4 linked regions of the Drosophila melanogaster genome follow. The protein of the gene in region 1 interacts with the protein of each later gene in a biochemical or structural test. Each region holds a gene or a part of one and is shown on either strand. Other genes may lie near its edges. The genes, in order: DIP-epsilon, dpr19, dpr13 and dpr18.

The links.
Region 2: the proteins of DIP-epsilon (region 1) and dpr19 form a complex in vitro, tested with the Drosophila melanogaster proteins (one study listed by BioGRID).
Region 3: the proteins of DIP-epsilon (region 1) and dpr13 form a complex in vitro, tested with the Drosophila melanogaster proteins (one study listed by BioGRID).
Region 4: the proteins of DIP-epsilon (region 1) and dpr18 form a complex in vitro, tested with the Drosophila melanogaster proteins (one study listed by BioGRID).

Annotation. Positions count from the first base shown.
Region 1 is NT_033779.5:6,408,304-6,413,287, reverse strand, and holds the start of DIP-epsilon (Dpr-interacting protein epsilon), read left to right. Parts: upstream 1-1,961; 5' UTR 1,962-2,461; intron 2,462-4,727; 5' UTR 4,728-4,904; coding exon 4,905-4,984. Other genes in the region: CG13982 (uncharacterized protein), read right to left, coding at 1-107, 430-584.
Region 2 is NT_033779.5:10,374,161-10,380,409, reverse strand, and holds dpr19 (defective proboscis extension response 19), read right to left. Parts: upstream 4,243-6,249; 5' UTR 3,857-4,242; exon of another isoform or gene 3,526-3,856; intron 3,163-3,525; 5' UTR 3,089-3,162; coding exon 3,022-3,088; intron 2,614-3,021; coding exon 2,468-2,613; intron 2,400-2,467; coding exon 2,189-2,399; intron 2,123-2,188; coding exon 2,011-2,122; intron 1,920-2,010; coding exon 1,546-1,919; intron 1,488-1,545; coding exon 1,240-1,487; 3' UTR 505-1,239; downstream 1-504. Other genes in the region: gny (garnysstan), read right to left, coding at 1-261; CG33303 (uncharacterized protein), read left to right, coding at 4,677-5,262, 5,319-6,109.
Region 3 is NT_033778.4:18,004,887-18,009,573, forward strand, and holds the start of dpr13 (defective proboscis extension response 13), read right to left. Parts: upstream 3,017-4,687; 5' UTR 2,263-3,016; coding exon 2,148-2,262; intron 1,110-2,147; exon of another isoform or gene 509-1,109; intron 1-508.
Region 4 is NC_004354.4:16,062,034-16,069,738, reverse strand, and holds the start of dpr18 (defective proboscis extension response 18), read right to left. Parts: upstream 6,002-7,705; 5' UTR 5,921-6,001; intron 5,859-5,920; 5' UTR 5,630-5,858; intron 4,338-5,629; 5' UTR 4,188-4,337; coding exon 4,040-4,187; intron 3,373-4,039; coding exon 2,932-3,372; intron 2,116-2,931; coding exon 1,940-2,115; intron 1,025-1,939; coding exon 811-1,024; intron 749-810; coding exon 424-748; intron 367-423; coding exon 242-366; intron 176-241; coding exon 45-175; 3' UTR 1-44. Other genes in the region: CG12395 (uncharacterized protein), read left to right, coding at 6,965-7,705.

The sequences.
Region 1 (4,984 bases):
GCCGCAGGATGCGGTAGATGAATCCGTTCCGTTGGCAGCGCTGCCTGGTGGTCCTCGATAAGAGATCTGCCTCTGGATCTTGTCTTCCTGCAGATCTGTTCTTTCGCCTAGAAGATGAAAGATACCACTTTTTATTAAAGATGTTTTTAATAATTATTATAAAGTAAAAGCTTTTGTTAACTCTTAAAGAATATCACATATAACTAGTATTTACTGTTTACGTATTTGGTTGCAGTAAGCACCCACTTGGGCGGGAAGCCCGCCTGTGGCACATTGTTTTGTGGCAACCAGCGGCCGTTGCATAGTTTTAGGCTGTTGACCCCCAACTAGCCAATTCCACCCCGTGCTTAGCCACTATTGATTGGTCAGCGGATTTGCGCGCGAACGAAAGTCAGCGGAGTTGAGCTTCAACTAATTGGCCCCACTCACCAGAGCCAGCTGTTGGCCACCCAGGACGTGGGGGGAGTTGTCAGTGAAGACGACGTCGAGGAAGTCGAGTGGGTGGTGGAGTCGGACGTTGAGGTGCAGGCGGAGTGGGCTGGTGCGGCGGCAGCTGTGGCACAGCTGCCAAGGCATGAACCCATGGAGAAGGGGCTGCTCCTGTCGCTGCTACAAGATCCTTGCTGGCTTCGATGCGGCTGCACTTGGCATTTCACGTCACTTTTTCGCCAGCCAGGCGCCACATTTCATTACGCTCGGGTCAAGGCTCCGCGGTGATGGCCCCTTCCCGTGGGCTTTCCGATTACCCTTTTGGACTCCGGAGCCCCTTTCAACGCAACTCCACACACTCCGCGGCACAGAGCGTAACTGTTTTTCATGCGCCGAGTGCGTCGACGTCAGTGAGTGACGGTGACGCCCCCACGCTTTCTTGGCTAAATGCTCCGTAAGCCTAGTGACGGAGTTTCTGTTTGGCCCTGCAGCAGTTGGGTGGTGGGTGGTGGCCACCTTTTGAGAGTCAGCTGTTTCGACTGAGTGTTGTGGCTTTCGCGTTTTGCGCTGTCAAGTGGCTAAAGTCAACAGGAGAGCAAAGCGTCTTGTGACAGGAGCTTTCGTCACTACTTAAAGCTTAGACGGACGCTCAAAGTTAATAAATTCACGGCACGGAGCGCTTTCGACTAGCAGTAGCTTTATCAGGGGTAATAACGGGAAATGTTAGGGTATTGCAGGACCGACATGATGAAGCTTTGCTTGGGGTGTAAAATGGGAAATGTTAAGGCTTGTAGGACCAAATTGTGTGAGCTTTGTTAGGGGTTATAAAGGGAAATGTAGAGCAAAGAAACCAAGTTCTTTTATAAATTTCTCTTTAATGAAGTTTGTATTGCAGCATCCTCTTCTTAAGATAGCGATGTTAACAGCAAGCTAAAGAAGTCTTGCCTTTTGAACTCTGACATTTATGGTCACAGAACTTGGAAATGCGTTTGCAGTCCCTAGCTGTAAATGTGTTAAAGTGCTAAGCTATTATTCCATTATGCCCGCTCAAAGACCAAGTAACAAATGTTCAATGATTAGCGAAGATGAAAAACATGTTTTCACTGTAAGACAGATGAGGGAGTTTTGAGGGATAACTCAAAAATGCTTACACAAGTGATACGCCCTGCTCTATTATGTTCAGAAAGAAATAATACGTTTCTTTATTTAGCTCACATATGCACATACTAATACTGGAAATTCTGCGACCTTTGGCTTTTCTCACATTTTTTCTCTCACATGATGAACATAAAATTTAACCCGCCGCATTAGCTGACGGAACGGATAGTGGAGTGGTGCATTAAAACACTCGGCGGATCGTTGGATTGATTGTTCGCTGTTTTCGGGGCTGTTAGTAGCAGAAAGTGCTGTTTGGCTCTGCAGCCAGGGCTATAAACATATGTAAGCTAACATAAATCACGGCCAACCGCAACATTTGTTTATCTTTTTAACATGCCGCAGCCGAAGTGAATCGCACGACGGGATGCTGCTGCCAGTGTGAAATCGGCTGTCGTTTCGTTCGGTTGTCGTTAGTCTGCGGTACCGCATCCGCATCAGTATTCGCAGTCGCAGTCGCAATCGCTTTTGAATCCCGAACCCGAATCGGTAACGGTATCAGAACCAGAATCGGTTTCGTTAGACGTGCGTGGACGTGGTCTTTCTTATTTGCACTGGCCAAATAGTTTAAAATAGTATTTTCGATTGGCATTAGTGGCGGCGAATGGTTGTTGTAAATCAACTGCTGTGAGTGCTTTTATTCGATATCCCATGCCATTTATGCACCTCCGCTGCCCACCGGAGGAGCTGCTGGCTTTGTGACGGCGTCTGTGTGTCTGCCGCGTGGTCCCCTAATTTAGTTATGTTGCAAAAACGGAGAACGGCAGAGGGAAACATGAAAATCCGTTGTTATGTTGTCTCGCTGCTCTATTTATAAATTGATTTGCTGATTCCTGCCGACATCTGACGCCCCATCCAGCAGCCAGACATTGCCACGGTGAGTTATTAGTTTCTGGAAGCAGGGCGACATCGGATGGAGGAGAACGAAGTTGCAGATGGGGCATCATTGAATAGTGAGTTCGCAGGATGGCCTGTTTAGGGAGCTGCATCTTTTACAAAGGATCCTTCCGAATTGGTTTACATCTGCTGGGAGAAGCTGTGCAGGCAATTGATTGCACTTTGAATGTTTCATTAGCCGGCTTTCAAAATAATGCGAATTGTATGCAAATCTAACTTCAAATTTAATTTTCTTTTTGTTTCATTTATGAAACTAAGTACTAAATGCGTAGCAAATTATTATTATTATTTACATGGCCAATGGCATCCTCGTAAAGACCAATATCTACTTGTTTAAATTAAACCATCCTCTGTCTTTATTTCCAACTTAAATTGTGCGTTTCCAGTTCCCGCGGCACAGTCTGACTCAGATATTTATATATCTTCCTGACGGCCGTCTACGTGGTGGCAATGTGCACCGAAGTGCAAAAGCCGGCTACTATATATGTAAACAAACGTGCAGAAATCTGCAATGATTGTCCGATCGAAAAGATTAATATACCGTGGAATGAAATCGTTTTAAGAGGTAATACGAATTTACGATGCGCTGTTTGCGGTTAGTGTGAAATTGAAGTTTTATGTTCACTTCAGTAATAAATAAACACAATCGTCATTAAAAAGTTAGCTCTAAAGATCGAATCCTTTGGGTGACACAAGCACTTGGTTGAATTCCCTGTGCTGTGGAAAAGAAAAGAAATAATAATTATAATTAAATAATTAATTTCATTTTGATTGATTGATTCGGTTCGGTGTGATTATAGTGCAGAAAGGAAGCACTCCTTTCTCATGCTATACGTACTTTTACCCGAAGAATACGATAGAAGATTTCTGCGCCACGGGCTTGTTGCTATTATTCGTTATTCATTTTTGCGTGTGAAAGGAAATGTAAATTGATTTATTATGCAAAAGCGAGTAAATGCTCCCTAGGAGACGGAAAGACAGAGCAGAAGTCAGACCGGCGGAGCATTCACCGCTGGCTCCTTTTCATCATGCGGCTACATCACTTCGAAGATGTGGGAAATATCCTTTCTGTCTGCGGGGCACAAACATTGCTGTTTACAATGATTTAAATGCATTACGAATTCACGGTCCATTTACATTTCGCGGTTAGTTCTATGGATGCAACAATCGTCGTCGCGTGAAAATACACCAGACAATACATTTTGGTGTACCAAACTATCACGTATTTATGTCATTCATACAATAATACATATATTTTTGACCATCAGTTGGTTGCTTATCAATCAGGTGAACTTTGGGTCATTAACGCTTAAATCTAAAAAACACATTTTATAAGAAACAAAATTGAATCTTATAAGATGTCAATGGTTCACTAAAATCTTCCTCAGCATAACGTTCAAAATCTTTGTTTAGATATCACAACCAAAATGAATGTTAAGTCGGCCGGCTTAGAAATCAATTAAGTTTGCAATTCGGTTTCAATAACCCTTACTTAATGGAAAATCCACAACAGCTGTCCCCAAGGAGGCATTCTAATTGAAATGCATTCATATTGCAATAGAATGAAGAAATTGACGAGACTGGAAGGACCTCCATGGGTTTACTTGACTGCCGTAGCCGGAGTGTAAAACAACAGCTGACAGAGCAAATTGCTTTTCGCTTATGACACGAGCAGGAATTAAAAACAAGGAAAAAATTCTTCTATGCATGCATGCAGCAAAACAACCACGAAAAGGAAGCTGATAATTCTGATGGTGACGATAACGTTGTCCCTGGCATTTGAACGGATTTGAGGTCGTTCGGAGACTTAGGGTTCGTCACTGCTCTGATATCTTCCTAATGCTGATCCTCTTTATTGAAAACTCCTTAATCCGTGAAAAAGATGCAAGCCAGGTGTGGGTCTGGTTAAAATGGCTCATAAAAATCTTAAGCATAAAAAATGGTGTGTCCGCTCGTCTGTCCGTATGTATGATATACAAAATCTCTTCAACTATTATAAATTTGAAAGCTTAGATTAAAGTTTATAAGATATGATTAAGTACGGTTGTAATCAATAAGCCGTGTAAAGGGTATGGGATAGCCGTGTAACACGAAAACAGGTCTCATTCCTTGCGGTAAATGGAAAATTGAGCAATGACAAATTAAATGTACACTTAAGCCTAAAAGCATGAAGCCATGTATAATTTCTTTTTTTTATTAATATTTTCATCAATAATGGCAACCTATAATTTCTCCTCATATTTCAGGGGTAGCGTGCATAAAAGCCAATCGCAATTAAACGTTGATCGATTCCAAAAGCAAACACAACATGAGCCGGAATATACTGTAATGCTGCACAATATTTGTACGCAATAAATAATTAAGTTTTCTTAATTGAAAAGCTAAACAACGGTAAAAAAAAGGGGCATCAAACTTACAGCAAAATGGCATACCACCTCGAAGCGATTTCTTCGTTTCTGTATGTGGGCCTTGGTTGCCTGATTGCCTCCTCTGTGGCACTAAG
Region 2 (6,249 bases), 4.0 Mb from region 1:
GGATGCTCCTATGCGACCCACCAAATAGCTGTGGTAGGCCGTCAGAGGCGGATAATCCAGGCCCCAGTACTGAAGATCGTTGTTGGAGCTGTTTGTGTACCATTCCCCCACTGCCAGATTGACCGTGATCTCTTGCCAGTGGCGCTGGGCCTCGTAGTCGCCATGCATCGGCGGGGAATCGAAGCCGGAGTAGGAGTACAGCGAGATAATCGACCTAACCGCCAGGCCCAAAAAGGCGCTTGCCAAAATTTCGGATCTCATCTTTTTGTTTTGCCAACATTTTTCAGCGATGGTAGTTCAGCTATGTAGAATTATCGATAACTTGTGTCAAATACAACGACAAGCTAAGATTGCACCTCACGGAACTGCGGTATATGAAACAGAAATCGGAAGGGGGTCTTACATTTGAAAATGAGTTCAAAAATATTCATAACATTTTCGTATTCATTTTTTAAATGTGTACCACCCAACTGAAGAGCAAATAACTTAACCAGAAGCGGGTTTCTTAAAATTGATCTGTTTATTTAAAACGTTCTTATGTCGGCAACAAAATTTAAAAGTCGTTTTGCACTCCGTATTCGAGGGTAAACAAAACGAAACTGGCACTTCTGCCCATTTTGGATTGAAGACAGCGCTTTTGAAAACGCTCACGGAAGTAATATTTATTTACAGTTGTACATACAGTATATGAATTAGCATACTTCTAAAGGTGCTTACATAAATCAATCTATATACTAAATATCGAACACTGAGCAGAATAACAGTTTAAAGGTGACGATCAAATTTTCCGAGTTATTAGGTAACAAATCTGTATGGCTTTATCATTATCATTTTACGCTAATTCCATTGTTTGTAACATTAAAATGTCAGTACCAGTACCAGTCAATAAATATGAACATCTAAGCATACATTATATCTTACGTACCACTATGAACCATCAAAATATGCGGTTTTCAATCCCCCATGACTTATTGGCATAGGTATGCATTTTATAAGTTTTGTGGTAACAAGTTCGTGAATTCTCATCTTATTTCTCAATTCAATACATTGCATGTAATGGAAGTCTATTTACAGTTTATTCTTAGATTACTTTAAATGTCTTACCATGCCCACGCCGGCATCTCAATATGGTATGTCAATGATCTATTTACAATCTTCTATTTTAAAACAAATATTCTCAAATATAATATCCTCGAATGATTGAAGTTGCTCCATTCCAAATACCATCGATTATAAGTTTCAGCTATGCATAGTGACTATTATAAATGCTACGAATACCTTGTGAGTTGCCGCCAACGAGAATCGATCGAATACCACCGCGCCCATCAGCAGGAACAGCCCAGAGAAGTAGAGGATTCCCCCGGCCAGAGTTACGCCGCTAGTTCCATTCAGTCCACCCAATGTGATCAATCCGAAGGTGCCGTTGCCGTTGGTCTCCGTATCCAAAATGCTCCGATTGGCGTGCTGCATGGCCGCCGTTTTCTCACCTATTATAATTACAATGAGTATGACATATATTTAAATATCGACCGGCGGCGGTCTTACCCCTTAGAACATGCACTGTAATGCTGGCAGGACGGGCATTTGATGGAGCACATGTATAGTTGCCGGCATGACGGAAATTGACTTGCTTCACAGTAAGCACACTGACCGAGGGATTCAGGAGATAGGCGGATTGATGCTGTTGCGTCATATAGGGCGTGGAGGAGGGCACATTGGCGGCCGGTGCCTTGATAGCATCCGAGCTGCCCAGCAGGCTGTTGAGCACCCCATTGCTGGACTCCATGGGCATGGTGGCGCGCGATTTGTTCGCCGGCGAGCTACGGTAAAACTGGCCACTCTGCGGATTGCTTTGCCCAATCGATGTCACAACGAAGCCGCCTTGTGAGTCGTAATTGATCATTTTACTATCATGGTACCTAAATTGAAGAAATTGCATTCGGTTAAGTTGGGTCTTATGTTTAGAATAATATAAAATTTTACAAATCTAACTCATATTATTTTTCATACCAAAAAACAAATGCAGGATTCTCGGTAGCTCGCTTCAGTTTGCATTCGAGTCGCAGAGTAGAAGTCTCATCAATATGCAATTCCGGTGCACTAGAAATCTCAGCTACCGCTTCTATACAACGAAAAGATTCAATACCCGTTAAGCTTTGAACTTTGTAAGGCAGCTGCGTCCACTTACCGACAATCTTTAATTCTATAACTATTGACTGAGTTGGATAAATAGACAATTGACACTCGTAAAAACCGCGATCTTCCTCCCGAACTGCCTTAATTCTCAGGGACCAGTGGCCCATGTGCCGCGTGTGCTCCACCAAGAATCGCTTGTCACTACTGTGGGTGGATAGGCCCACTGTCAGGAGCTGGAAGTCCTTTCTACGTATCCAGGAAACCTGAAATGTTGCAAAAGGTCTAAGTATTAGAATCGATGTATAAATTTTAAGAAAAACATATATCTCACCGTGGCTGGGGAGTTAACTTTGACCACACAGGGCAGAATGGCAAGTCCTCCCTTTTGTGCAATAACTCGAGTGTTGTTCTTCGTATTAAATTGACTTTGTAAGGTGTTACCAAAATGATTTTGAGACGAAGTGATCTTCCCGACATCTGAAATGGTTGTTCAATGAATATTAAACAAAATCTCTTAATATAAATGTGTCAAAAATCACATGAAATGAATGAATCCAAAGTGATTTGCGGTGAAATGTTAAAAAAAAAAAACTTAAAAATGTAAAATGTAAAAATGAAACTTAAAAATGTATCTTTTATCTATGCCTTCATAGCTTTCGTTTTCATAGCTTTCGTTTTATTTTTAATTACTTTTGCATAGAAATAAAATTTTTCGTTCACTAATTTCTCTTGGTATTTAATATTTTTTTTTATTTACCTTCAAAAGCAATCAAAATAAAGTAAAAACGCAATCGAAGGTTTTCGCTTCCAATTTATAGCATACAACTTAGCGCAAAAGTGATAAAAATCGTTTAACGATTCATAAAGTTGGCGACCTTTGCTTACCAGAAAAAGTTGAACTAAGGAGTAGCAAAAAACATGATAAATGCAAGTGCCATCTTTTCGGTTCCATTATTTCCGAATTCGAGGCTCCGCGGATCGTATACTTTTCTAATTCAACTTTATACCCGCAGCAACATTGTCCTCCTGCAACGAACTTCAGTTTATGAGTACATTTGTATTTATGTATGTATGTATGTCCAATGTGTATTTCTAAAAATATTTGTGGCAACAACGATGCACCGTGGAGTATGTATGTATGTTTTATAGCTCGCAGATACAAGATATTTATATGTATGGGTCACGCAAACAACTTGAAACTTGTATCATGTTTTTTCTTTTTTGGGATAATCTTGACTTAAGTGGAGGAATTCAATTTCTTTCTTCACTAATATTTTATGCACAGAAAAAAAACACATGTCACGGATACAAACATACATATATGCATACAGATATATGTATATATTTTGGAGGAAATGCATACACAGAAATTGATGGAGGAAAACTCACTTTTTTCCCGTTTTTCTGCTCTTTTTGCACTGACTGCTCGGCAAATCCTTACGCGTACATACACATTTCGCCTCTAATTGTTTATGCAATCATAAAGCATTCGTATGACTATTTCATAGCTACATATTTTCGAGAATACAGATACAGATACACAGGTGAAAGATGTATAAATTGTATGTATTGACCGTCAGAAGTGCAGATTTCTCACTGCATTTTCGTTATATTTTCACACACGCGGCCTCTGTGTGTGCGGGTGTGTGTATGTGCGTGCGGGTGTGTGTGTGTGTGTGTGTGTTTAGAGAAAATGGCACAATTCTGGATTCGAATTTACTTGGTTGGAGCCAAGAGTCCGCAGTTCACACCCCGGCGAATACAACTTCGTTTTCGAAGTGCCAATCGTCGACTAAATTGAAGTCGGCAAAAAGCCCCATCCGTATAACTCACGCAATCGCATTATGTGGGGTCTCTTCTCTCCGGATTGCATTGCATATGCGTGTTTAAGCCAACTCGACTCGCCAATCGAAGGGATGATGACAGGAATTATTTAATATTATTCATATTTACTGCTGGGCGGCATAATGAATGGCATAGAGAATCGCATGAGTCGCACAAAAGTGGCGTAACAACGGCGTGTATTCTTGTTCTAAGGGTAATAGATAACGAACTTTGGTGGGGTGCTTTCCAAAATTAGTTTTATTCTGCTGCCAATCGATTGAAATGGCGCCCAGTCAGCTGACTGCTATCAGCCAAAAGTTAGGTTAGGTCAGTACTTGATAAGTGCTTCGCTAACAAGATAATATAATAATATAATGTAATATAACAATGAGAATCGTTAAAACACAACAAAAATTATGTATGCTATAAAACATGCATGCAGAACTTAAAATATATCAATAATATTTTATAAATGATTATTATATATTTTGTGCTTAAATTGATGCAAAATAAGCTTTATTTAGAAGTGCTATTATTTTGGTTACTGCCCTTTATATATTTTTTCTGTTATAAGAATAAAAATTAAAATATTTATGGAATACCCCTGATAATTCTGCGCAGTGGCTGGTAAAAGTACGAATGCGTGACACGGTCACGCTGAGCCGCTTTGCCGGCTGAATGGTCTTAAATATGCCCTAACGCTTCGAGATTTTCCAATGTACGTGTCCAAATTTGAGGCGAGCATGGCTACGAATTTTGTTATTTATCTGGCGCTTGGGGCACTCCTCTGCCTGGCCACTGCCAACGGGGAAATAGTGAACACAAATGTGGAGCGAACGCTGGACCTAACATCGCAGCTGGTAAAGACGACCACCAAGATCTCGGCGGAAGATTCGGCCGGCAAGCCGATTGTGGAATACGTGTTTTTCACATCGGAGCCCAGTTTGGCGTACATTGACGTAAAAGATGCTAGCGACAAGAGTGTGCCATTCAAGCGGAATGAGCCCGTGAAGGGGGAGCAGAGCTTCACGTTCACCTTCCCCAGGGCCGCCGCCAAGCAGACGTTCATCGTCGAGACCGTGGCCTCTAAGGGCATCCGCCCACATCCGGAGGAGATACGGCAGAACGACAAGCAGTTCGTGAAATATACGGGCAATCTGCACCTCTATTCCAAGTACAGGACCAACAGCCAGAAGACCAATGTCAAGCTCAGCTCCTCGAACATCTTGTCGCACACCCAGGTCAAACCCTTTTCGGTGTCCTCCAACAAGATCACCCTGGGACCCTACGAAAACGTAGAGGGTAAGTAATAGCTGCCTAGCAGAAACCGTCTGTTCTAACGCTTTCGATTCGTGCAGCCTTCAGCCAGGAGCCACTAGTCATCCACTATGAGAACTCCGCACCATTCGTCACCGTCAATACGCTGGAACGCACGCTGGAGATATCGCATTGGGGCAACATTGCCGTCCAGGAGTCTATTCAGATGACGCACACCGGGGCCAAGCTGAAGGGCTCGTTCTCGCGCTACGATTTCCAGAAGGAAGGACGCTCCGGACTGGCGGCCCTCAAGTCGTACAAGACCTACCTGCCAGCATCCGCATCTGGTGTCTATTACCGCGACACCAATGGCAACATTTCCACCTCCAACATGAACGCCGTGCGCGACTTCATCGAGCTGGAGCTGCGTCCGCGCTTCCCGCTCTTCGGCGGCTGGAAAACGCAATACACTCTGGGCTACAATGTGCCCTCGTACGAGTACATGTTCAACGATGGCAACAAGTACCAGCTGAAGATGCACCTCATCGATCACATCTACGACAATATGGCCATCGATGAGGCCACCATCAAGATTATTCTGCCTGAGGGATCCAGTGACATTAGGCTGTCCACGCCCTACTCCATCAGCCGATTGCCCAATGAGCTGGTGCACACCTATCTGGATACCATTGGTCGCCCGGTGGTCTCGTTCTCCAAATCCAATTTGGTCGAAAGCCACATTTCGGACTTTACGCTCCACTACAGCTTCTCGAAGACTTCTATGCTGCAGGAACCCCTGCTGGTCAGCGGCTTTATTTATATCATCTTCTTGTTCACCATCGTCTTCTTGCGTTTGGACTTTTCGATCACATCCCATGCGCATAAGGAATAAGTAAATCTTTAGATTTCCTCTAAATTTAGTCACTCATCAGATTGTAAAAGATCAAAATGAAACAAAACTACTATTTTGCAAATAACAAACGAAAATAAATAAAAGCTTGCACTTGATGGCGTGAAATTTAATCGTAAAAA
Region 3 (4,687 bases), on another chromosome or scaffold:
CCAACACGGGATGTCATACAAACCGCTTGTTAAGCATTGTGAATAATTGAATAAGTGAATATTTGTACAGAGTATTTACATATATTTTGGTCGTTTTGCTTTTTAGCAACGCTCGATCTTTTCCATGTTTATATCGATGTTCACAACCAAAACATTCAAATGGGGAATGGGTAGCTGCACATTTTTGGCCCCCAAAGTGACATGGTCGCCCTGCTTAGCATATAGCCTGCAGTGCAGTGGAGAAATATATTTTTTTTTTATATTTTTTGGTTACATTATGCAAATATTTGGATGCATTGAGCTGCGGATTTGGGTGCAGCGACTAGTAATGCATTTGCTGCGACCCCGCTGGCCTTCAAAAATCCCATGGCTCGATCCACAGACATGCACCGCTGGCATAAATATTGATTTATATGAGCCTTAATGTATATCTAGGCACGTTCATGTGGCTGGCTAAATATTAATGCGGTCCAAATAAAAAGCGGCAGGCGCAGCTGAAATTGCTTGTCTATTTTATTTTTTTTTACTCATCGCCCTAAGCTGGCGTGCATTCTGAATATATTTATTTCGGCCTCTGTTTATTTCTATTTTCAGTTGCAGTTTTGGATTCTGTTTGTTTTTTTCGTATTTCGTTTTTGTGTTTGTGCATTTTTCATTACAGCATTGACAGTGACAACGACAACGACAGCGACAGGAGTGTGTGGCCCAAAAGGCCTGTGTTGGTGTGTGGCATGCAACAATGGATGCGCTAGATAGTCGCCAGTAGCACTCGCAGTTGCTGCGGTGTGTGTGCGTTGCCCCAGGGCCCCACTGTGTGTGTGCGCGTGCAAATGTGTGTGAAGACGTGGCACTTTTTTATGCCATTGTTGTTGTTATTTAGCAACGACTTTACGGACACCCTCTCCCCCCATCGACGCGGGGCACGCACAAAATGTGGCACAAGCAGTGTACTAGTTCCACATATCGGTATTCCTTGGAGTCGAGTACCAATCACTGCGAGAAAAATCGCTTAAATTGAAGACCAAATTTTATGTTGCGTTCAAGCATTCGAGAAATAAACATTATTTACAAATAAACTAGCAATTTATAAACATTATAAGAGGCACATTTTTTGTATATTGTAACTATTTAAGTAAGTTAAGAACTAATAGTTCTTGAGAATACATAGTCAGCTTTTGCATATTAAAAATATAATTTAAATTATTATATATAACGATTGACTATATGTTATTTATTATATGTATATTTTTAAATATTCATAAAGATATTTTGTTTAAAATGCGTAAAGCTTGAAAAGGGAATAAAGAGATTGTCAAAAGGATTACACCTGCATAAAAATCATAGTTTAGAAACATAATATACCTAATGCAACTAGAGATGATTATGATAGTTCCTGGTGTCATATTTTTATCGCAGTGCATATTCTATACCACTTTTGGCGTGTTCAATAGGTTTATTCGCATTCACATTTTCCCGATTGGACAAACTGGCGTTCTGCCGCTTTCGCTCTGTCTTATTGCCGGGCAATTTCTGGCTTTGTTGATTGCTTGACAAATTGCCAGTCAGCCAGTCAGTCAGACACAGAGAGAGAGAGAGAGAGAGAGATAGCGATGCAGGGCGCGAAAGAGATGGAGAGAAATGGCGACAGGGGGCAGCTTTCAGTGAGCTCAGTTGTAGAGACAAGTGTTGCTGTTGCCGTTTGGCGCAGGGGAATCCCCTGATTGCCGTTGTTGCGGTGTCAGCCATTGACAGGTGATGCACAGGTGATTTCCGCGCTCATCGCCTGACCTGTCACTGCACTCGACATCGGCAATGAAATGTTACAAATTAACGATTTCTCGACTTGGGCAATCTCGTGGCCTTTGTTGCGGCTCGTCCGTGATATTTGCCACATTTAATTTCATATTTCGCCAATTTGTCTTTTGACAATATTTCATGCATTACAGCGACGCTAATTGAATTAAATCGTGTTCGGTGAACAGTACAGAATAAGCGGAATGCAAATTGAAAAATCAACGGCATAAATAAATGAAAAAGTATTAAATGCGTCATTATTTTTCTGTAATTTCTACGCCTCGCTTTTATGTGGGATTTTATTTGATTTTTAGTTTTAGTGAAAAGTCATAATGTCTGTGTGTGATATTTACCGCAAATGCCGCATGCCGCAATATATGCTATTATAAAAATGAGTGCCGCTGGTTTTTGCAGCCTGTCAAGGACACGGCCATTTTTGATGCGATATAATCCACTTGATGCCGGCATTTTGTTGCTTTGTGTTGCTGTGTGTCGCTGAGGATGTTGCACTTATTTTCCGCTTGTTGTTGTAGCTGTCAATTGTTTTGCATTTGTGATTCAATTTATCAGAGCTTTAATTTGATTTCATTTGTCACTGCACTTGCATTTCAATTGGATGACATTGCATTAATTAAAACGTTTTTTCCCCTGCTCTAATTGTTGTTTATTTTTTTAGGCCCACACTTTTCGGTTATTTGATGTTTTCTTTATATTAAGCCTAATTAAATGCACTTTCTGCGTTGATTTATGCCCATTTGATGTGACCACATTGCTAAGCGCCATTTGCAATTAACTTTCCATATTTTAATTAAGCGTTTTTTTGCATTGTTTCATTTTCGCTTTTTGTTTGACTTGCTCGTTTTTTTTTTTTTGTAATCCTTTAGTCACATTTTAGCTGGGGGCACGTGGCAGCCATATGCCAGCACATTTGGAATTCATCATTTATAGTTTCGCAAAAAAAGCGCTCACGTTGCATGTACGTTGCGCATACGCCGCGTTGACCGCACCGAAACTACACTGCACCGCACCGAACCCGTTACCGCCGTGGTCAAAGTTCAACTGACTGAGCAGCAGCGTGGGAATTCGCCTGCCAGCCGCTGGTGTTGTTGTTTGGCCCTCGGTTGCACGGCTGCTGCTTTTTCCTGCTTTTCCAGCGCTTCGCTGCTTTTCCTTCTGCCGCTTTAGCCGCCTGTCTGTTTACTTTACGCTTTCGCACGCGACTGACACGAGGACCCAAGGAAAAGCAGGCAACACCAGTAGCAACACCATCACCAGTGGCAGTGGCAGCAGCAGCAGCAGCAGCAGCGGAAAAGTCTGCACGAACTTCGTGCGCTTGGCTCTCTCTTTCTCTCTCGACTTGCCTCTCTCATTTTCCTTTTGGGGAAACTCTCAAGTTTTATAGCATCTTGCGTTCGCGTGAAATGTTTGCTTAATTGGTCCTTTGAAACCGAAACCCAGTCCTTTCAATTTATATCAACTATTCCGTTTAAGGCAATCAATACTATAGTTTTTTTTTTTTGTTATTAAGCACTTGTTCTATTAACACATATATTACATTGCAACTAATGCAGCTAACCTTATTATATCAACTTAAAGAAAAGAGGTAAAAGCTAAAAGGTTATTATGTTTCATATATCATTAAATTTGGTTTAAATCCTTGCCATATTTTTGATTACCATTTCATTTAATTGTGTATGATTAGATGATTTAGGGCTAACAACACATTCAACTTTTAGGTATCCTTAATTTGCCTAAACAAGGCTCAACTTAACAGTTTTACATATACCGACACTAAATTTTTTTATGCCAAAAAAAACTAAATTTTTTTAGTGCATATATTGAAATTTTAATTTGTTTTCAAACAGCTTCTAGGATTGTCAATCTTCAGTGAACAGCTGGTACGATTTTTATAGCAAACATTTATCGCAAACTCACTACTTCCGGTCCTCTCTCTATCTTTCTCCTTGTTGTTTGTGCGCATAGTTGGACTCTCTCTCTCCTTCCTGCTTTCATCGCTCTCTCATTTTGTGCAGCCATTTCGCCGAGTGACGAAAGCACCTTCGTCACGCGTCTCGGCTCTAATCGGGTGCAAACAAAGCATCAGCAAACCGCTTCAATTTGGGTTATTGTGCTGAAATTAGTTGGTACCAAGTTGTGGGCCCTCAGCTGGGCGAACTTAACTTTCCATTTCAGCCAGCTCATGGTTTTTTTTTTTTGGCCACGTTTGGGCTCGCAGAAGTCGGTTGCATACTTTGGGGCTAGCCAGAAATCCGAACTAATAAATGGCTAACACGCTTTAGACCTTGTCAGGCTGTGAAAGCATTTTCGCGTCGAAGGCGCCATCTGCCCAGCTGCAATGTCACATTCCGCTTGAATTCTTTGGCTAACAAGGAAAACCGGGGAAATGCTGAGCTAAAACGCGGGAAAGTGTCTTGCAGATTAAATTCCTGAGTTTCATGCTTCAGATATATTAGTCAAGTCAAATGCAATGGACCACTGTTTAATAAGAATACAGATCTCGTTCATTTTTATTTTAAATAATTTTCATGCATTAAATTCCTTTCACATAGCTCTTTGCGATCTTTTGAATAATTAAAATCGAACGCCTCTCTAATATTTCACTTAATGAGTTCGATGTTCTGCTGCCCATCCAAATTTAATACCCAAGAAGACAAATAGTCGCAGCTTCTGGCCAAATTGCCGTTGGAAAATCATAACCATATATCAGGCAATGAAAACCTGACCCGCAAACATCTAGTCGTGTATGTTAATTCCCCTGCCCTTCCCCGTTCCACTCGATATCTGGCACACTGACCCACACTCAATCTCCCTGGCCGCCCAGTTTCCTAGTATCCCAGTATCCCAGTATCCGTATAAATGGCCGGCGATTTCT
Region 4 (7,705 bases), on another chromosome or scaffold:
GAATGGCTATGGGGTTTTCCGCAGTCCCTTCTCAGATTAAAGCCTCAGAAATGTCGATTTTCGGTTTTCAGGCAAGTGAAGAGGAAAATGAGTACAAGGAGATGACCCAACATCGCAAGGGAATAGATTTCGGTTCTTGAACCAATATTGTGCTGAACAGCTGCGGGTAGTTCGCCTGTAAAGATATATATAACATATCAGGGAAATGATTTTCACGAAACTTCAATCACTAATTAATTACCTGTGAGCACTTGAACTTGGACAATTACGGTGAACAGTCTGCCAAGGGAACAGGAATAGTTGCCACTATCGGATAGTTTGGCATCTCCAATGGAGATACGACTGGTTAGCCAAACATCGGAAACGCTGCAATACACAGGACACAGTATATAGGAATTCCGACTTGCATCGTTTGTAATCTACCTTAAGCGCCTATTGGTCATTCCTTGCAGTGGTTCTTCGTCCTTTGCCCAGGTTATAAACTTGGTGAAGTATTTCTCCAGATCCTGGCCAGAGAACTTGTGTTGCGTCTGATTTACGTTGCCAATTAGATTAAGCTCACTAGTCGTCTCATTGATTAGTTTCTGTACAGCATCGTTTGCAGAATCGGTTGATTTTAGAATGGTCTGACGTTCTTTTTGGAAAAAGCTACGCGATATTTGGCATTGTAGATCGACGGTGCTTCCAGACTTATAATAACGATCCCCCACGTCCCTCTCGTGCTCATCGATTATCCTCAGGGGGGGTTCTGAAAGCGGAAAACTTGCCATGTAGGATTCGTTATAAGGTTAGAATTGGTGGTATCCATACCCAAGACAGTGAGATTTGTGGTGAATACCCGGGGGGGATGGGTGGAAACCTGGCACATGTAAACTCCGGCATCTTCAGTCTGCGTGGGATTGATAAGTAATCGCCAATTGTTCGGGTACTGGAACTTCACCCGAATTCTCGGGTCTCCACTGTAGGTCACGTTGCCAACGGTCAGGAGCGATACCTTCTCTGCCGTTCGCCTGACCCACATGACCTGGAAGTTGGAAATTCAAAATCTTATTTAAAGTAACCGCAAGATTGGGCATATATGTACATATGTATGTTCGTACATATGATAAGTAAAAGAAAATAGTCGAAACGGTAAAACACGTTACACATTTATCTCTCTCAAAGCGCTCTCTCACGACTATCGGTTTAACAAAAACAAACGGGAGGATCGAATTATGAGAATAGCTGAAAAGAAAATAGGCTCTCTCATCGGCTTCTTCTTATTCTCTCTCATTTCATTGTCATATTTTGCGAGCATCGGTAAAGAAAATGGCTGCCGCGAAACAATTAAATTAAATCAGTTTTTGTACATTTCGTTGCTCCTAAAAGTGCCAACAATTAGGTAAAATGATAATAAGTGAGTACTTGCAGGCCTGTGTAATGAGTATGTAATAAATATAATATTTATGGTTAAATGGGCAAATTTTTGTGCGTTTATTGGTTTACCGATATTGCACACACACACATCCGTAAAAAAGTACTCATACACAAATGAGTTTCAATGCAATGGTGGTGGCGGTGGGTGTTTTTTGTTGCCATATGCATACATACATACATTGTATGTTTGATGTAAACATATTAAGAAAGGCAATCAAATTGAATAGTAACTAAATTATATTTATTCAAAAAAGGGGTTTAATGGCTTAAAAACTTGCTTTTTGTTTTGTCTTATAAAGTAAAACAGTAAATAAAGTAAATAAAATCCGTGAACACATAGGTAGTGAGAGCTAATTTATTTCCAATTATTTCGGTTGTTTCATCATTTGTGAAATCAATTAACTGTGCAGAACAATAGATATTTATTTACGTGCATGTATGCATGTATATGTATGTATGGGTATGTACGTACGAAGGTATGTACATATGAATCTGCGTACATATCAAAATGGCGTTCACTTACAGTTTTATCCTTGAGCATACCGACACGGCAATTGAGCACCGCTTCCGTAAACAAATGTACGGCGGAAACGAGGTTGTCACCCGAGGTTGCCGAGTTGATGGGCTCCTCAAAAAAGGGTCCCCAGTGGTGCTCGTGGTGGTGCTTGCTACGTGGTCGTTCTGTGACACGTGCGAATCCTGCCAAGATTTAAAAAAGTTTCCGAAAAATTAAATCGAAATTAAGAATATACATATATACTACATACATACATATGTATGTATGCACGTAGTACACGTAGGGGTTGCCGCATTCATTTTGAAGAATGTCATATATACATATGTATGTATTTATGTACATCCGTTCGTTTTCTTTGAAGATGCCTCATTTTATATTTTAAACCACCTTTTTCCAACGGTAACAATCATTATTTATAATCACCAATTTAAAAATATTTATCTTTTAATTTCCTCGTTTTTTAAGGTAAAAAATCCAAAAAATTACGCATTTTTAAAAATTTAAAATTAAATTAGAAGTTATGACATTCCATATTATTATTATTATTTTCAATGTTTTGATCAGAAAAAGTGTAGCGAAAATCTGGAAAATACTTTATGCAAGAATTCGATATTTCCGTGATTTATTTTAATCCGTATTCGGCTTAAATTTATTATACAGCTAATGAAACAACTGTGTTATGCAGGTTTTTAGCCATGCCAAAACATAATACTGTTTGCCGGATTTAGAAAAAAATTTCGGAAAATTTATCAAAATTACCAAAAAAAAGTCAAAAAATTTAATTTTTAAACTTGAATGCCAGTCGATTTGAAATTTCATAACGAGTCTGACGTGTTATGGCAATCCATGTTTAGACATTTATTAATTTTGTTTCGATCAAATGGCTGTTGCCAAAAATGCAATATTTACGATGAAAACTTTGCTAAAAACTTTCATACACGTACTTTTGTACAATTGCTATATGCTGTTCTGCATAATACCAAAGCTATCCCACTTACCACTTGCTGTCCAATGATTCCTCGTGCGTGTGGAATCAATTGGCTGTTTCATGGTACTTCTGTCGACTTTTAGGGATGCGAATGCTGTGGTGGGCATGGTCACAGTCGTCAGCTGATCAGTTGTCCCTACATTTTTGATTGGAAGGCTATTGCTGCTAAACTCCATGCTGCCCGGTGTCTCCATGGGTATTTTACCCCGACTCATTTTCGTGGGAATGGGGCTGTGCGGAGCGTTAGACGCCTCGATTGGCATTTGGGAATGGTCCTCGTCCTGATCCTGCGATGAAAACGCGTAAAGGGTTGCCCTTGTGGCTGACAGGTAATCAGCAGTTGATAATGTCGATTTAGTTTTATTATAGTCATCAAAAAGTAATGAACGATTCTCGCCGTTTCTGGATTGTTCACTTGCGGAGGGGGATTTTGTTTCGACGGATGTCGTGTCTGAATTGAAAAGGTGAAGAATGCAAGAAAAAATATATTTAAACAAGAGCTCAGCTCCTCAGAAATATCTAACCATTTTTAAATTACCCCATTGGCTTTATTCAAATATGCTATATTCATGGGCTTAGGACTAATTACAACCTTGGTTACGTTGTTAAATAGGTAAAAATATAGTAGGGTTGGTAGAAATAAAGGTCCTAACTATATACTGAATAATATTAAATTCGTACTCTGTAGTTATAGACGTAAATCTGTAGTATTATTTTTAAGCCACAACTTTTTACAAAGTTTTATTCGTTGGATGCCCAAGACTTTATGGTATAGTTTCTTATTTTCTTTTTTCCATTTAACTTAACACACATATTTTCAATATTTGCTTCCCATGACAAAATATTTCAGATTTTACTAGCCGCAAATGAATGAAAAGTGTATTATATACCCAGTTTTCTACCAAATTGTCCGAATTAGAAAGTTTGATGTTTAAATATCCGTTGTAAGTTTCTAAGAAAACCCGGTCCATTAAGAATAATTGAACTTCCCCTAACTGATGCTACCTTGATAAGTAAAGAGCACAAAACATGGGAAAAGGAGTCATAACAAAGGCTTCGGGGTTATTTAAATGCTGTTTTGCAAACAAAGTTAAGGGAAACTTAAGGGCTACACTTACATAGAACTTGAACTTGCGATCCAATCACCAGAGCAATTGTGAGCAGCCGAAGAAGGCTCAGACTGGTTTGTGAATTGTAGGAGAGTGGTAGCGTCTGGGCAGCGTTCGATGCTGGTGATAGTGTCCTATATCCTTTCGGAAGCCTCATCCTTTGCACGGGGCGACGTGACTTACGGAATGTGCTCGAGAGAAATCAGTAACCTTCATCTTAGTTCCGAGAAAACTCAGCTGCTTTCTGGCACTGAATCTTGTCGATGGCTCAGCGTATATTTCCCTCTTTTCTTTACCATTTAAATTACTGCAAGAGAACGTAGTAAAGTATTCAAGGAAAATCATTTGCTCAAGAGTTTCTACCCACAAGGATGCTGATGCATATCAAGAATAAGTGAATTAATTGCAGGGAAAATGATTTCTTTGTTCTTACTCTTACAACTATTATAATAAATGCAAACAAATTACTTTGAACTTTGGTTTGTCTGCAGTGTTTTATGTTAGTCATTTAAAAGTTTGGGAAAAAGTGACCTAATGCTTGAGCTTCGGGACACAACACTTGATACATTTATATGTACAAAAATCTGCTCTCACATTTTTATGTCACTACTATTTTTTTATTTCTTTTCTTGTGTTGGTTTTGCCAAGTGGCCGATGGATAACAAAAAAGCACTTATGTATAAGCCCAATAAACTAACCAAAACATCTTAAAGCCTGATACTCTATGTTCATTTTTATTAAAGCGCAGTAAAAATTGAAGATATTGTGAATCTGTGTGACCCAGTTTAATGGGGCAGGCTATAGATTTTGCTTAGAAGGTTATGAGGGGGACGTTAAAGGCTCTCGAACAATGGTTTGATCAGCGCATCTCTAGGCCCATGGGACTGAACTATTCAAATAATGGAGGAGGACTGACTATTAATTCTTGGCTCAAGGCATGCAAAACAAAACAAATACAATAACGAAAAAATGCGCCGTGCGACACGACCCGGTTTTAGTATGAAGTATGAATAATTTTTAAAATTTTTAAGCTTTTTAAAATTGCTGGCCATGAAAAGCGCATATGTGTTTGGCTTGTGGAATTTGGAATTTAAAATAACGTAAAACAAAATATTATTGTGAAACAAAAACGAACTTAAAGGTGTTGAAAAATGAATTTGTTTTGCGGTGGATATTATATTTTGTCAATTATAAAAAAACGATTCAATATATTTGGTAGCAGACCAGTGAGTAGCGTGGAATTTGCTTTTTGGGACACTTGCCAGCGGCATTTTTTCTTATTTCGTTTTGAGTTCGTCTCCTCTACCATAATCTAAGCTTCCTGTCTATACACCCATCGAAAATGATATATCTGTGGCAGCAAGATTAATATTTTTTTTTTTGCCCATGGCGGATTCATTCATTTATAAAAAGCTAACGAAACGTAATAGTCTCATTTTTCGAATACTAGTTGGAACTTCACAAATTTATATTAAATTAAATTATTTATATTATTTGATTAACTTTTTACTGGAATTTTTGATTAAGCTCAGCAGTTAATTGGTCCCTTAAATATTCATGCAGTTTGACAGCCGTTTTTTCTATCCCTATTTCACTTACCATGTGCAGCGATGTGTTGTGTTGTCTACCATTCAAGATACCTGATTGGAATTGCGGCGATTAGTAAATCCCTTGCTCTGTTGGCACAAGTCACATTTGTACAAAAAAAATACACTGGCACATTGAGTTAGCAACAACAACAACAAAAAAAATGCACAAAAAAATATTACTTTATCCAGGCATACAGAAGTTTATACTTGATTTTATTATTAACACATTTGTGTACACACTGAAAAAAAGATAATTTACTCAAACTATGTTATAAAGACGGTAGGAAATACGCAGATGTACTTTGGTGCGTTATATTCACATGCGCTCTATCCGGCGAGCACGTAGGTATCGCTTATCCTTGAAAACCGTAATGAACTGTCGTTGGCAAAAACTTTGGACTCCATTCCAAGCGTTCAAATGAAAAGCCGAACACAAATGAGCGAAAGCTTGTCTGCACACTCGAATCCAGTGAGTGAGTCACTCAAAGGGGATTTCTGTTGAGTCCATACGGATACTCAACACTGCTCGGGACATCTCCCCTAGTTGGGGAAAGAAAGGTCTGTCCCAAAGCTTTCACCAGGGATTTTATTGAAGTTGGGAAATTCATGAGCTGGTAGCGAAAGTTGGTTCCTAAGTGAATGAATCGATTTTTCAGTAGTTAATTATTTTAAATACCAATCAACAAAGGTTTTTTTTATCTTAATTTCTTTTTATTTGATATGAATATAATTAACATGGTAGAATTTTTTAACTATAAGCTATACAAGTAAATCGCATTTAAATCGTAATATACTTTACATAAACTTTTCTACATTACATTTTACAGTGCTTACAAATAGCAAACTTGTGTTCTTGAACGCGATTTGCTGTTATACATTAATTGTATTAGTATAACATCGGTAAGTAGTATAACAGATAACTGATGATCTAAATTATAAGATACAATAATACGTGTATACTGAAAAGTATTATACTCCAGTGCAGTGTAGGCCAAAAAGTAGGGATTGAATCTACGGTGTTGTCGGCAAACAAATCATACAGAAACTTATAAATACGAAAGCATAGAAGACTTTGAATGGGAATTTTCCAAGACTCAAAATAAGAATAAAAGGGGTATTAATAATGCCCCAATATAATAGCTTTTACCGTACTATCCCATATTTAAGATTCCTACCCAAAGGATGCTTTGGATTTGCACTCACTGTAGTTGAATCTTTTAGCCGATTCAGACTCAAACTCAGACACATCGGATATTTTAATATGTGTATACCCACACAACAATAAAGCCGAGACCATATTTACAAATTGATTTTGCTATTGCATATCATATCATTATCACCAAGGATGCATATCGTGAGTGGCAAGAATCTGAGCCGCGAAGAGTTAGAGGAAGTTAACAAATGGATGCAACAAAATAGTATTAGCACTCAAAGATTGCGTCGCGAGTTTTCCGATGTTTTGCCGCTGGCCGAAATATTCAAACGCGATTATCCGCGCTTGGTGGATCTCTTCAATTATCCGAAGAAGAGTAGTGTTCAGCTGAAGTTGGCCAATTGGGAGACATTCAACTTTAAAGTGTTATCCAAGTTAAATATGACGTTGACTAAAGATTTTATGGAGCAAATGGCGAATGGTGTTAGTGGTGCCGCCGAAGTCATGTTGCATGAAGTGATACGATTGGAGAAACGACAACGCCTTGCAGAACAACGAAATGCGGCATTGCGGCAGGAACAACTTTGGGAGGAAAATGATGAGATAAAAACTGTTGTGGTTAACAAACAGATCGGCGATGGCATAGTTCAGGTGCCGCAGAAAATGATCCTATATTCGCTGTACGAGAAAGTGGAACGTGATAGTCATGCAAAAGATGTTATTATCGATGCCTATCAACAGCGATTGACCCACATGGAGAGTATTATTAAATTGAAAACGGAACGGATCGACGAACTTCTAATGCAGATGGGTAAACAACCTCAAAAGAGAGCTACTAGCAACGCAACCAATTGTTTCTTTGCTTACGATGGAAAGAACTCCCTAATTCAGAAGCATATAAGTCCTACGCAAGCATCATCGCCTACCCATCTG